Linked DNA regions of Cricetulus griseus. The protein of the gene in region 1 interacts with the protein of each later gene in a pairwise test. Links are inferred from orthologs where the notes say so. Each region holds a gene or a part of one and is shown in the gene's direction. Other genes may lie near its edges.

Region 1 (5,561 bases):
AGATCGTTCGTTCTTCAGACAGTACAGAACAGGTGTATACTCTTATAATCCTAACACTTGGGAAAGTAGAGGCAGCGATTTGTAAAGTTCCATACCAGCCTGGTTTAAGCAGTAAGACTGTCTCAAAAAAAGTGTTTTGTTTAAATCTAAGAGCATACTAAACCTGCAAGTATTAACCAATTCATATTTTCCTAAACCCAGTCTTATCTTGGTTCTCGTAGAGAAACTATTTAAAACAAATTTTCAAATGAATTTTAAGAAACAAGTCTATTCTTGTGTAATTGTATTTGCTTTCGTCTATGAAAACTGCTGGCCTAAATTCCTGTCAGGTTACTCACAAACGATGGATCTGCATGCTCACTGTTCTCACCTATTCCCAAGCTGGTGGACAGGAGCAAGTCAGCAAAACAGGCAAATCCATTTCTGTTAACGACAAGGTAGTGTAGGCTGGCCTAAAACTCGGTATGCAGCTGCAGATGATCTTGAACTTTTGGCCCTCCTGCCCTCTTCTAAGTGCTGTTCTTCCTAAGGATCCAGGCTTGATTTCTTCGAACCCACATGACAGCTCACAAACATTGACAAATCCAGATCTAGGTGATCTAACGCCCTCTTCTGACACTAGGCACCCACATGCTAGTATAAACCTGAGTTTCCAGCACATAGGAGACAGAGGCAGGATGAGATTCAAAGTCATGCTAGGCTACAGAACAAGTTTGAGGTCAGCATAGGACACAGTCCCAGAAAACCAACAACAAAAGCATACCACTAAATAGAATTCAGTATGCTTGTAATTGTGCTGCCATTGTTACTGTGATTTTTGTTTTTTTCTTTTGAGACAGGGCTTCTCTGTGTGGTCCTGGCTGTCCTGGAACTTGCTCTGTAGACCAGGATGGCCTTGAACTCACAGAGATCTGTCTGCATCTGTCTTCAAAGTGATGGGATTAAAGGCGGGCGCCACCACCTCACGGCTACACTATGTAGTCTTGACCGCTTGGAAATAGCTTTGGAGACCCCATCAACCTGTAATTTATGGCAATCCTCCTACCTCGCCTTCTGAGTGTTGGGATTACAGGCCTGTACAAGCAGCTGGGCACATTTATCACTTTCTGATCTGATTGGTTACAACCGCCTTTTTCCTAACTCCTAATCTTCCATGCTGTCTTTGTTACTTCATCTTAAGAACAAAAGCAGGATGCTCGTCTTTTAACCTAGATATCTTGATCTTTTCACATTGAGACACAGATGCTTTCTGCAAAGTTCATACTCTGAAAACTAGATAATCAGGTTACACATACCCCCTCATCTTTTACGTAAATCTATTATGTTTTTTTTTTTTGGGGGGGGGGTGGGAAGCATTCACAGCTTATCTCGGAGCACAGGTTGGACTGCTACATGCTTTCACGAAGCCCAGAAAACAAGCATTCATCAGCACGAACTTCATCCCAGGCAGCTTTGCTAGGCCTTGTAAGTAGAAATGTATTATTACTAAAAGAGCCCTTTACCACCACGGTGTCTGGGCTCTAGACCCGTCTGTCAGTCCTGTCTTTTAAGTTGCTTTTCCAACTTTCAGGACAACCTCCTGGCAGGTAGGTGGCTGAGAGCCCGAACCCGGCAGCGCCCGCGATTGCTGTACTGACAGGCAACCCGCGCGGGCTTGGGCACTCCCGGAATGCACAGGTCTGCGACGCCACCAGCCGCTCGTTCCACACCGGGCTGAGCAGGCGGGCGGTGTCTACCTCATCTTAGCGCTACTCGGCACCGGAAATGACTTAGCGAAGGCATTTCTGAAGTCCAGGAATCTATTTCTCCCCCGGCTCCTGCAAAGAGAGGCCGAGGGACAGCTCCGTACGCAGGTCACGCCTGCGCGGACTGACCAGCGGGCAGCAGGGTCACCGCTTCCGCTCCAGCGGACCGAGCCTCGGACTTCCGGCTCGGCTCCGCGCCCCAGCCCCGCTCCCCCACGCGGGCCGTGACGGAAGCGCGCAGGGGTGACCTCACCGTCCAACATGGCGGTGGCGGTAGATTAGGGCCGCGGTTCGAAGCAGCCACCGCCGCTCCCGGACCCTGTGGGAAGCACCTGCTGCGGCCGCCGTCTCCTTCATCCCTTCTGGGGCAGGGCTGGCGCCAGGTGAGGGGAGTGGGATTCCGGGAAGGTCCTGCTGGGTGGCGGAGCGGGTTTTCGCCCGCGGAGGAAGGGGGTCTAGAGACCCCCCGAGCCGACCGCCCGGTGCTGCCCCGGACGCGGGGAGAGCAGGCGGGAGGGAGCGAGGACCGAGCTGCTCTGCCGGGGCTTGTCGGGGCTTGTGGGCACTGCTCGGGGCTGGTGGACCTGTCCAGCGTGCCCCCACGGTGGGTGGCTTTTGGACGGGCTGTGTGGCTGGCTGCCTGCGGCGCCAGGGACTCACCCTTGCTCTCCATTCTGCCCCTCACCCAGACCTTCGCTCGGAGGACCGGGGTCCGTTTGGGGGTCTGGACTGGGAGACGTGCCTTCGTTCTTGGAGGAGGGAAGTGTGTGCCGTTCACTTAGGACGATTATAGATTAGCTTCGCTAGTGCTTTCTTGCCACAGCGCTCCGAGTCCTGTTTCTCAGGGTTAGCGCTGCAGTTTTGACACCCGTTCCCACTCCACCCCCAACCCCAGGACACCACAACCAACAGGCTTTCTTAACCCCGTGGAGGCGATGGATAACCGTTCACGCTCATTCTTCTTTGCCTTCTTAAAAGTCCTCCCCATATCCCCACGGGATCCCTCATTTCTTGCCTTTATAGTATAGCGCCGTGCAGGAGGAAGCCTGGACTTTTTAAGCCCGGGCTTTTACTTTAAGGGGTAAAAATTGGACGACTCTGCCCAGCAATTCATATGCTCTTTGCTGATAGCTTTGTTAAGCAATTCACCATTCCCATGAACAAGTGTTTATCTCAAAGATCTGTCTTACACTCAGTGTTTAAAAGTTTTGAACTATGATGACAGGCCCCTCTTCTTTCTGATGTTTAAAAAAAAAAAACGCTTTGCAAAATTTCTAATATTTCCCTTGGAGGCTTGGCATAAACCAGAATGTTGACGCTCTCTGCCCTAACTTGTGTGACCTTACATGAATTGCCACACCCTTGAGATGCCTCCCCCTCCACCTTTTTTTTTTAACACACGGGAAAGTTAAGCAAGTTTGTGGGTAGGGAACCACTTATATTTCATACATGCAATTAGATTAATGTATCCTTCATGTTTATAACAGTGAATTGAAAATGCTTAAACTATTGTTCTGTATATAATAGGCAGATGAGGACTTCGCAGGTTCCCCTGCTCTGAATAATCAGGTACTATTCTAAATATTTTTTCCAGATAGCTCATAGTCCTTAAAATATCATTTGTTTTGTTTTGTTTTTTGATCTTATGTATCCCAGCTGAACTCATCCTCCTCCCTTCCTCCCTTGTATTGAGATCCAGGAGTACCCAACCATGTCTGTCCCTTTAAAAAATTGAATTAAACGTATTATTATTGTGGATGTAGATGTATGTTTGGATACACGTGTGTAGGGCAGTGGGTAACATTGTTTTTGGGGGAGTGGGGGGATGCAGGAAAGTTTTCTATATAGTCCTGGTTTTCCTGGAGCTTCCTGTATAGACCAGGATGGCCTCAAAGTCACAGACATCTGCCTGCCTCTACCTTTCAAGGCCTGTGCCACCATCCACAGCCAGTAGGCAACTTTGGTAGTTCTTTTTCTCTTTCCATCTTTATATATGGGTTCTGGAGATTAAACTCAAGTTGCTTTTAACGCTGAATCATTTCATTAGCCCTTGGTTTGTTTTGAGACTGTTTCAGTCTGTGCTTCAGGCTAGCCTTGAACTTTTAGTAGTCCTCCTAAATCACCCTCCCTAGTGCTGGAATTCCAGGGGAGGCTGCCACACCTACCTTAAATGGCCTGTATCTTCAAGTGTGCCCTGGAAATTGAATTCAGCCAAATAATGTGTAAGGTTAAATCCAGCCATCTTTTTTTTTTTTTCTTTTTGAGACAGGGTTTCTCTGTAGCTTTGGAGCCTGTTCTGGAACTCTCTCTGTAGACCAGGCTGGCCTCAAACTCACAGAGGTCTGCCTCCTGAGTGCTGGGATTAAAGGTGTATGCCACCACCATATGGCAAATCTAACCATCTTAAAAAGTGTTATTATTTGACAATTTTGCATAAGTATGTAGTTTGTTTTTGTCATTCCTACCCTCACTCCTTTTAACTTCTCATTCTTGTACTGCTCTCACTAAACAGCTTTTTCATCTTATAAAAGGCAGGCACTCCTGGGAATGTAAATACTGGGGAGGCTGGGTGAGATTGCTGGGAGACCACCCTGGGCTAAAAGTTAGACCCTGTCGTAAGAAAAAAAAAAAAAAACAGGGCTGGAGAGATGGCTCAGTGGTTAGGAGCACATACTGCTTTTCCTGAGGACCTGGGTTTGATTCCCAGTACCCACATCAGACAGCTTACAACTGCCTGTAACCCTCACTCCAGGGGGTCTCACACCTCTGACCTTTGTGGGCACTTGTATTCATGTCCTTTAACACACTTTAAAATTTTTTTCTTCCTTTATTTTTTTTTGGGTGTGTGTGACAGGGTTTTATGTATCACAAGCTGATGTAGGGGTGAGTTGGTTCTCTGTTTCTACCGTGTGGATTCTGGGAATTGGTCAGACTTGGCAGCAAGCAGCTTTACTTACAATGGAGCCATCTTGTCACACTATCAAATGTTTTTCTGCATTGTTTCTTATGAAATATTTTAGACATAAAATTATTCTATGTGAGTGTTTTGCCTGTGTCTATGCGCACTCTGCGTGCCTGGTGCCAGCAGAGGTCAGAATAGGGAACACCTACAGGAACCGGAGGTCGGACGGCTGTGAATCACCATGTGGGTGCTGGGAACCAAACCCAGGTCCTCTGCAAGAACAGCAGATACTCTTAACCTCCGAGCCTTCTCTTCAGCTCCAACACCAAGAATTTTTTAGATAGGGTGCCCCTATATAGTCCTTGTCTGGTCTTGAACTGTGATCCTCCTGTCTCAGCCTAAGTGGCTAGAATTACAGACCCGAACCACCCAAATCTGGGTCAAGAGTAATATTTTCAGAAGTTGGGTTTTTATATTAGGGATCAAACCACTGTCCTTTTACATGCTGAGAGCTCATGGAGATACACTCCAGCCCCTTTTGTTGTTACCTGCTTTTTGTTTTTGTGGTGCTGGTCATAGAATACAGGTCTTCAGGTTTTTATGTGCTCTACTTCTGAGCTACACACTTAATCCAATAGTAACTGAAATTTTTGTGTTGTTTTTATGAGAGAGCATCTCATACTGTATGTAGCTCAGGCTGGTCTGGAACTCACTGTGAGGCTCAGTCTGACTTCAAATTGGTGGCGATATTGCTTAGCCTTCTGAGTGATAGGATTACAGTTGTGATCCACTATGGCTGGCTGAGAGCAGCTCATTGTCTAGCAGCTTCACTGAGATATAATTAATTTACTATACTATTTACAGTTGTGTAATGTAATGACTTTTAGCACATTCAGAGTTGTGCAACCATTATT
Region 2 (5,687 bases), on another chromosome or scaffold:
GAAGACAGCAGTAAGGCCATGTCTCAGCTTGCTGACATACGGCCCATCTCTCCTTCCACAGCCCCCTGCCAGGCCTTGGTTAGTGTTGCGGATGTCCAGGCCACTCTGCATGGGATGTGCTCTGACCCCAGCTCCTTGGACAGGTGACTGTTGGTGTCCATCTGAGCTGCTTGCTGGAGGAGGGGTAGGGGAAGCCCAGCCTCCTTGCTGAAGTGGCTGCTGCGCCCTTGTCCCTACTTGTCCTCAGCACCGGGCTCCACTTTGAGCTCCTTTGCCCCTAGAGCTGGCTGTTCCTTTTAGTGATGAAATGTTTTGGACAGTGGCAGGAGTGTGCGTGTTACCATAAGCGTACCCTGAAGGGGGTTGGCCACTGAGAGTCAGGTAGAAGGCTGAGGAGCCCCGGCTCTCCCGCCCCCATGCTCTCTCTGCCTTCAGTGTGCTCATAGGCTTCCCTGTTGTGAGGGCTCTGTGCCCCAGCCTTTTCTCACCTGAGGCCCATTCTGGAGAGACCACTGGCCTCAGCAGGCAGAGCCTGTCAGCAGGCATCTAACAGTAGTCAAACTGGTCTCTCCTACAGTGCAACCAGAGACCCCTCTACCTCTGTCCCAGCCTTTGAGGCCCAGAAGTCCCCCCAGACAGTGGAGGGGGAAAAGAACCCAGAACCTTTGGGGCTTCCCCAAAGCCAGAGGTGAGTTGGCCTCTCCAGGAGGTGTTGGATGGATGGGCAAGGATGGTGGGGCAGGAGGTAACCCCCAGTTCTCCTTTCTCCCCGAACAGTGCCCAGGCCCTTGAGACGCCCAATGGCTCTACCCCAGGAGGGCCCATTTCATCGGGTTCCCAGTGAGTGTGCCCCCAGCCTGGTGTGGGTGGGCAAGATGGGGTCACTGGACCTCCTCACACGTGTTTCCTTCTGTTTCTAGGTAGCTGCCTGGTGGCAGTGATGGCCAAATCCTCTGTCCTCCCCATGGAACCCCACCCCCCCCAGTGGGGCAGGATGGGTCCTTTGGTGGCCCTCTTGCCCATTTCCCCATATCCTGCATTCTCTCCTCTGGACTCCAAAGGAGGCTGGTGCCAGGGAGATGCCCTCACCCACCCCATTTGCACTGAGAAGAGAAACTATGGAGCTTTGTCTCCTAGAATAAAGATAGAGAGTCACATAGAGAGAGAGAGGAGAGAGAGAGAGGTATATTATATATTATATATATATATACATATATATATATATATTGAGGGAGGAGTAAGAAAGGAAGCCAGGACAATAGCTGGGTCAGCAGCTCTGAAGCACAGCCTCCCGGGAGTCGTCTGTCCAGCGGGGACCGGCGCTGGGCTTTGAGGCTGCTGACCCAGGCTCTGGTGCAGATGCTCACACCCGGCCTTTCACTCAGGACCACCTTGGGGTGTAACAGAGGGCGCTAGGCCCAGAGGGCCATGCGTTTGTTCAGACCTTGCACTTTGACCAGGCATCTGGCCCCTGGCCCTGGGGAGCGGGGCTTCCCTGGCAACATCCCTAGAGGGCCAGAACCGGGGATTCTGGGTGCCCAGTACCCTGAGGGTCCCAGCACTGCTGCCAAGTGGCCTTGTCCCAGCTCCTTCCCCCAGGCTGGCGTGAGTGTGCAAGTATGTGTGCAGGGTTTGTGTTTCATACTGCAAATATAAATAAAGGAAGACAGCTGAAGAATCCTGGTGTCAGACCTTGAGTTCTGGGACTCAGGGTTGGGTGAATCTGCTCTATATGGTCTAGAGAGAATGGCATTCTTTTGGAGGACACTGGTGAGTGTGTGAGAGTGTGTGTTTGTGAGTGTGTGTGGTGAGGAGTGCTTTTTTGTTTTGTTGTTGATTTTTTTTTGATACAGGGTTTCTCTGTGTGGCTTTAGAGCCTATCCTGGCACTCGCTCTGGAGACCAGGCTGGCCTCGAACTCCCAGAGATCCGCCTGCCTCTGCCTCCCGAGTGCTGGGATTAAACGCGTGCACCACCAACGCCCGGCTGAGGAATGCTTATTTTAAGTGTGTGTGTGGCAGGGGTGGGGGGTGAGGAGTGCTTATTATGCTCACCAGGTAGAACACGAGGAAAAGGGCAGCAGTCTTGTTGAGTTAGCGCTTTGGAATCCTCTCATCATGATGTGCACTGCCTTGGCCCTGTTTGGAGATACAGATCAGGGTAGGAGCTGTGTTGTCAACTCACAGCCCCCTTCCCTTCCCTCTGTCCTCCTTTAGCTGAGATCTGCTGGGAAGAACAAGAGGTCTCTGGACCTTGGAGCTGGGCTTTCTGCCTTTAAGGGGATAGGGAACGCTGGGCGTTGGTGGCGCACGCCTTTAGTCTCAGCACTCTGGAGGTAGAGGCAGGCAGATCTGCATGAGTTGGAGGCCAGCCTGGTCTATAGAGTGAGCTCCAGGACAGACAGGGCTACACAGAGAAACCCTGTCTTAGAAACTGCCCTCCCCCCAAAAAAAGGTGGGGTAGGAGGCAGGCAGCTGCCTGGGAGTCCCCTACTGAGTTACCCAGTAGTGGGCTGGGCCCTCAGCACCCGGTAGGTACCTGTCCTGTATATGCGAAGGCTGCAGAACAGAACAGCGACTGTGCAGTGCAGTGATCATCTTTGTGAGAAGCGTGTTTGAGTGACATCCAGCACAAGGCAGGGTTTGTTCAACCAGTGCTTGTGGCAGGGTTCCTCTCTGGAATCTTTCCTGCCTGCTGTTGTTAGGGGTTGGTTGTGGGGGGTAGGTCGCTCTCTGTGGAACCCTGCATTGTCCCTTCCTATTGGCTGGGCACAAGACAATGGGAGGGCCACCTATGCTGGCCTATAAAAGGAGGTGGCCAGGTTTCTCTGTGCGGGGGAGGGGCTGTGAGGGGTGGAGGGACCCTTGAGTCCTGATGGGCACTTTATCAGCAAGTGCCAGAGAAGAACAGGCCTTGGGTGAGCCCTGTTATCGGTCCCAGAGTCCACAGGACACTTGGATTAATGTGTAACCTTAAAAGGCTTCCCCTGTGCCCTCTGAAGCCACTGGTTCCTAAGTAGACACCACTCAGCATGGATCCTAGAAAAGAGGGGCTGCTTCTGAAGACACTCTTCTCAGACCAAGTGAGAGCCTGTGAGGGGTGGGGGGGGTTGGGGGTGGGTTCAGGCCTGGCAACAGGGGTAGCCCTAGGGCCTGTGAGTCCTTGTGGTGAGTTGGTTGGGATTCCCTGTCCTTCCAGGAGTTTGGGTACTAAGGTACTGTGGTCTTGTCCTGAGTGACAAAATTACCAAAGTGGGTAAAGATCCTGGTCCCTGAAGTCCAACCTGGATACCAGGGTGGTATGAGGGACACGTGTTAAAATAGGCCCTCACTGTGTATCATAGACTGGTCTTGAGCCCAGTGCCCTCCCGTTTCCATCTCCTAAGTACTGGACTTGTGGGCATTTCCCATCATCCTTGCTGTGACCCCTTCCTGAGGACTGGGTTGAGGGTGGGAGGCTGAGCAGCTTCCTCTCCTGAAGCACCCACAGGTCCGAAGGTGGCTGGTCCCCTTCATCATCGCCTGCTCCCTCTATTTCCTCCTCTGGATTCCTGAGGACCAGCCCTCCTGGATCAGTGCCCTGGTGAAATGCCTGCCCTGCCTGTGCCTGGTTGTGTTTCTGCGGGCTGTGGCCCCTGGTGGGAGCAACTCCTGGCTCCTCGAGGGAGGTCTTGTATGTTCTGCCTTGGGAGATGCCTTCCTCATCTGGCCTGAAGCTTTCCTTTATGGTGAGCAGGGACCCTATGACAATCCATTTAGGGATCTTGTGGAGTCAGCCAGTTCTGGGACACAAGTTTAGGTTATAGGGAGATGCCCCTAGAATCCACTGGGCTGAACCAGGCTGTGGTCCCGAGACACCCGGAGGCAGTGATGCGAGGCGGGCAACTCACGGTTCTTCTGAGGGTTTAGGGTCAGGCTGTAGTTGGAAGGGATGGTGTAGAGAAAAAAAAAAAAAAGTTTTTTTTTTGTTGTTGTTGTTTTTTGAGACAGGGTTTCTCTGTGTAACTTTGGAGCCTATCCTGGCACTCGCTCTGGAGACCAGGCTGGCCTTGAACTCACAGAGATCTGCCTGCCTCTGCCTCCCGAGTGCCGGGCTTAAAGGCGAGCGCCACCACCGCCCGGCAGTGTGGACAAAATTAAAATGCCCCATAGCTGAGGAGGGCAGGGTGTTGTTTTTGAGACATCCGTAGTCCACGTTGGTGTGAATGGCCTCAAACTTAGGCCTTAGCTTAATTCTGCCTTAGCTTTCCCGAGAGCTAGGATTACAGGAATATACAGAGATTTCTCTACCACACCTGGTATGGAGGCATAGTTTCTAGGATGTGTGTGACAGTGGCCACCCAGGGCATGGAATAGTGTGTGGGAAGGACCTGCGTTGCCCAATGGGCCCGTCTGGCTGGAGTAGAGTGGTTGGTGAAACCGGGGCGTAGGGCTTCCCAGAACACGATTTGGAGTTGATGGACGCGTGAACAGAGCCAGTAGGTGACACGGTATGAATTTTAAAGTCATTCTCATTGCTCTGGGAACTGATAGAATGATCAAGAATGGGAAGAAATTGGAAACCCACCAAGAAAAGGGGTGCTCTAATCTGAGAAGAATATGATGTGACATGCCGGGAGGAGCTTGTCCCGTTAGGTCTGGTGGTGAGAAGCAGGAGTGGATGCCCTCCGTTAGCCTCATGGGGCCCTGTCCCTCTCTCCCTCAGGCATGGCCGCCTTCTTTGTCGCCCACTCACTGTACCTCTGTGCTTTCGGCCTGTCCCCGCTGCAGCCCAGATTGCTGCTATACGTCGCCCCGGTCTGTCTCATCTACTACAGCTTCCTCCTGCCACACCTTGAGTCAGGCATGGTCCTTCCTGTGCTGGCCTACGGGCTGGTCCTGTTCTCCATGCTGTGGCGCAGCCTGGTCCGGGGTGGGAGTGCTGCCTGGGGCGGTTTGCTCTTCACCGTCTCCGATGGTGTGCTGGCCTGGGATACCTTCATCCACTCCGTGCCTTTTGCCCGCCTAGTAACCATGGCCACCTACTATGCAGCCCAGCTCTTCCTCGCCCTGTCAGCCCTCAGGAAGCCAGGGCTCAAATTCCACTAATGCAGGACCCGGACAGCCCAGGGTCTCCCGAATGCGTACCTTGGCTCTTCACATTGACCCAGCCTGGCAAGCGGATGCTTCCGGTCATGTGCCTGCAGATACTTGGCCATCTTAAAACATCTGTGTACCGTTGGCAGTTTCGAATCTACCACTGAGATCAAGCTGCCCTCCCCGGGCTTCTGATTGTGGATTCCAGGCTCCCAACCCAGCATACATCCCGTCTTGCCCTCCCCATGCCTGCTTCCTCTTCCCTGTCAGCCTTCCCTAATCTGGTTCTCGCTGCTGAAGTAAAGTGAGTGTTGGAACATCAGTGTCATTATTTGGGAGGAAATGTGTGGGCATGATGACAGGTCCTAACAGCAGGCATAGTTTTGTTTTGTAAAGATTATTTGGGCTGGGCAGTGGTGATGCACGCCTTCCGTTCCAGCACGAGGCCAGCCTGGCCTACAGAGCAAGTTCCAGGACAGTCAGGACTACACAGAGAAACTCCTATCTTGAAAAGCAAGGACAGCAACCAAAAGTTACCCGAGTGGGAGTGGTATACCTGTGTGTGTAGACAAGCATGCCTGTATGTTCCCACTAAGTCAGAGGAGGGCTTCTG

What was found. The genes of interacting proteins can lie anywhere in the genome.
Region 2: the proteins of Bcl2l13 (region 1) and Tmem86b interact in binary tests that used the Homo sapiens proteins (3 or more experiments, as listed by UniProt). The two-hybrid records come from large-scale screens. The link is inferred for Cricetulus griseus from reciprocal best matches to the Homo sapiens genes BCL2L13 and TMEM86B.

The regions. Positions count from the first base shown.
Region 1 is NC_048601.1:24,056,453-24,062,013, reverse strand, and holds the start of Bcl2l13 (bcl-2-like protein 13), read left to right. Parts: upstream 1-1,988; 5' UTR 1,989-2,128; exon of another isoform or gene 2,129-2,614; intron 2,615-3,272; exon of another isoform or gene 3,273-3,314; intron 3,315-5,561. UniProt on the Homo sapiens protein: May promote the activation of caspase-3 and apoptosis.
Region 2 is NC_048602.1:23,280,245-23,285,931, reverse strand, and holds Tmem86b (lysoplasmalogenase), read left to right. Parts: upstream 1-1,915; 5' UTR 1,916-3,030; coding exon 3,031-3,081; intron 3,082-3,479; coding exon 3,480-3,726; intron 3,727-4,703; coding exon 4,704-5,086; 3' UTR 5,087-5,391; downstream 5,392-5,687. Other genes in the region: Ppp6r1 (serine/threonine-protein phosphatase 6 regulatory subunit 1), read left to right, coding at 62-143, 578-688, 778-840, 921-924. UniProt on the Homo sapiens protein: Catalyzes the hydrolysis of the vinyl ether bond of choline or ethanolamine lysoplasmalogens, forming fatty aldehyde and glycerophosphocholine or glycerophosphoethanolamine, respectively and is specific for the sn-2-deacylated (lyso) form of plasmalogen.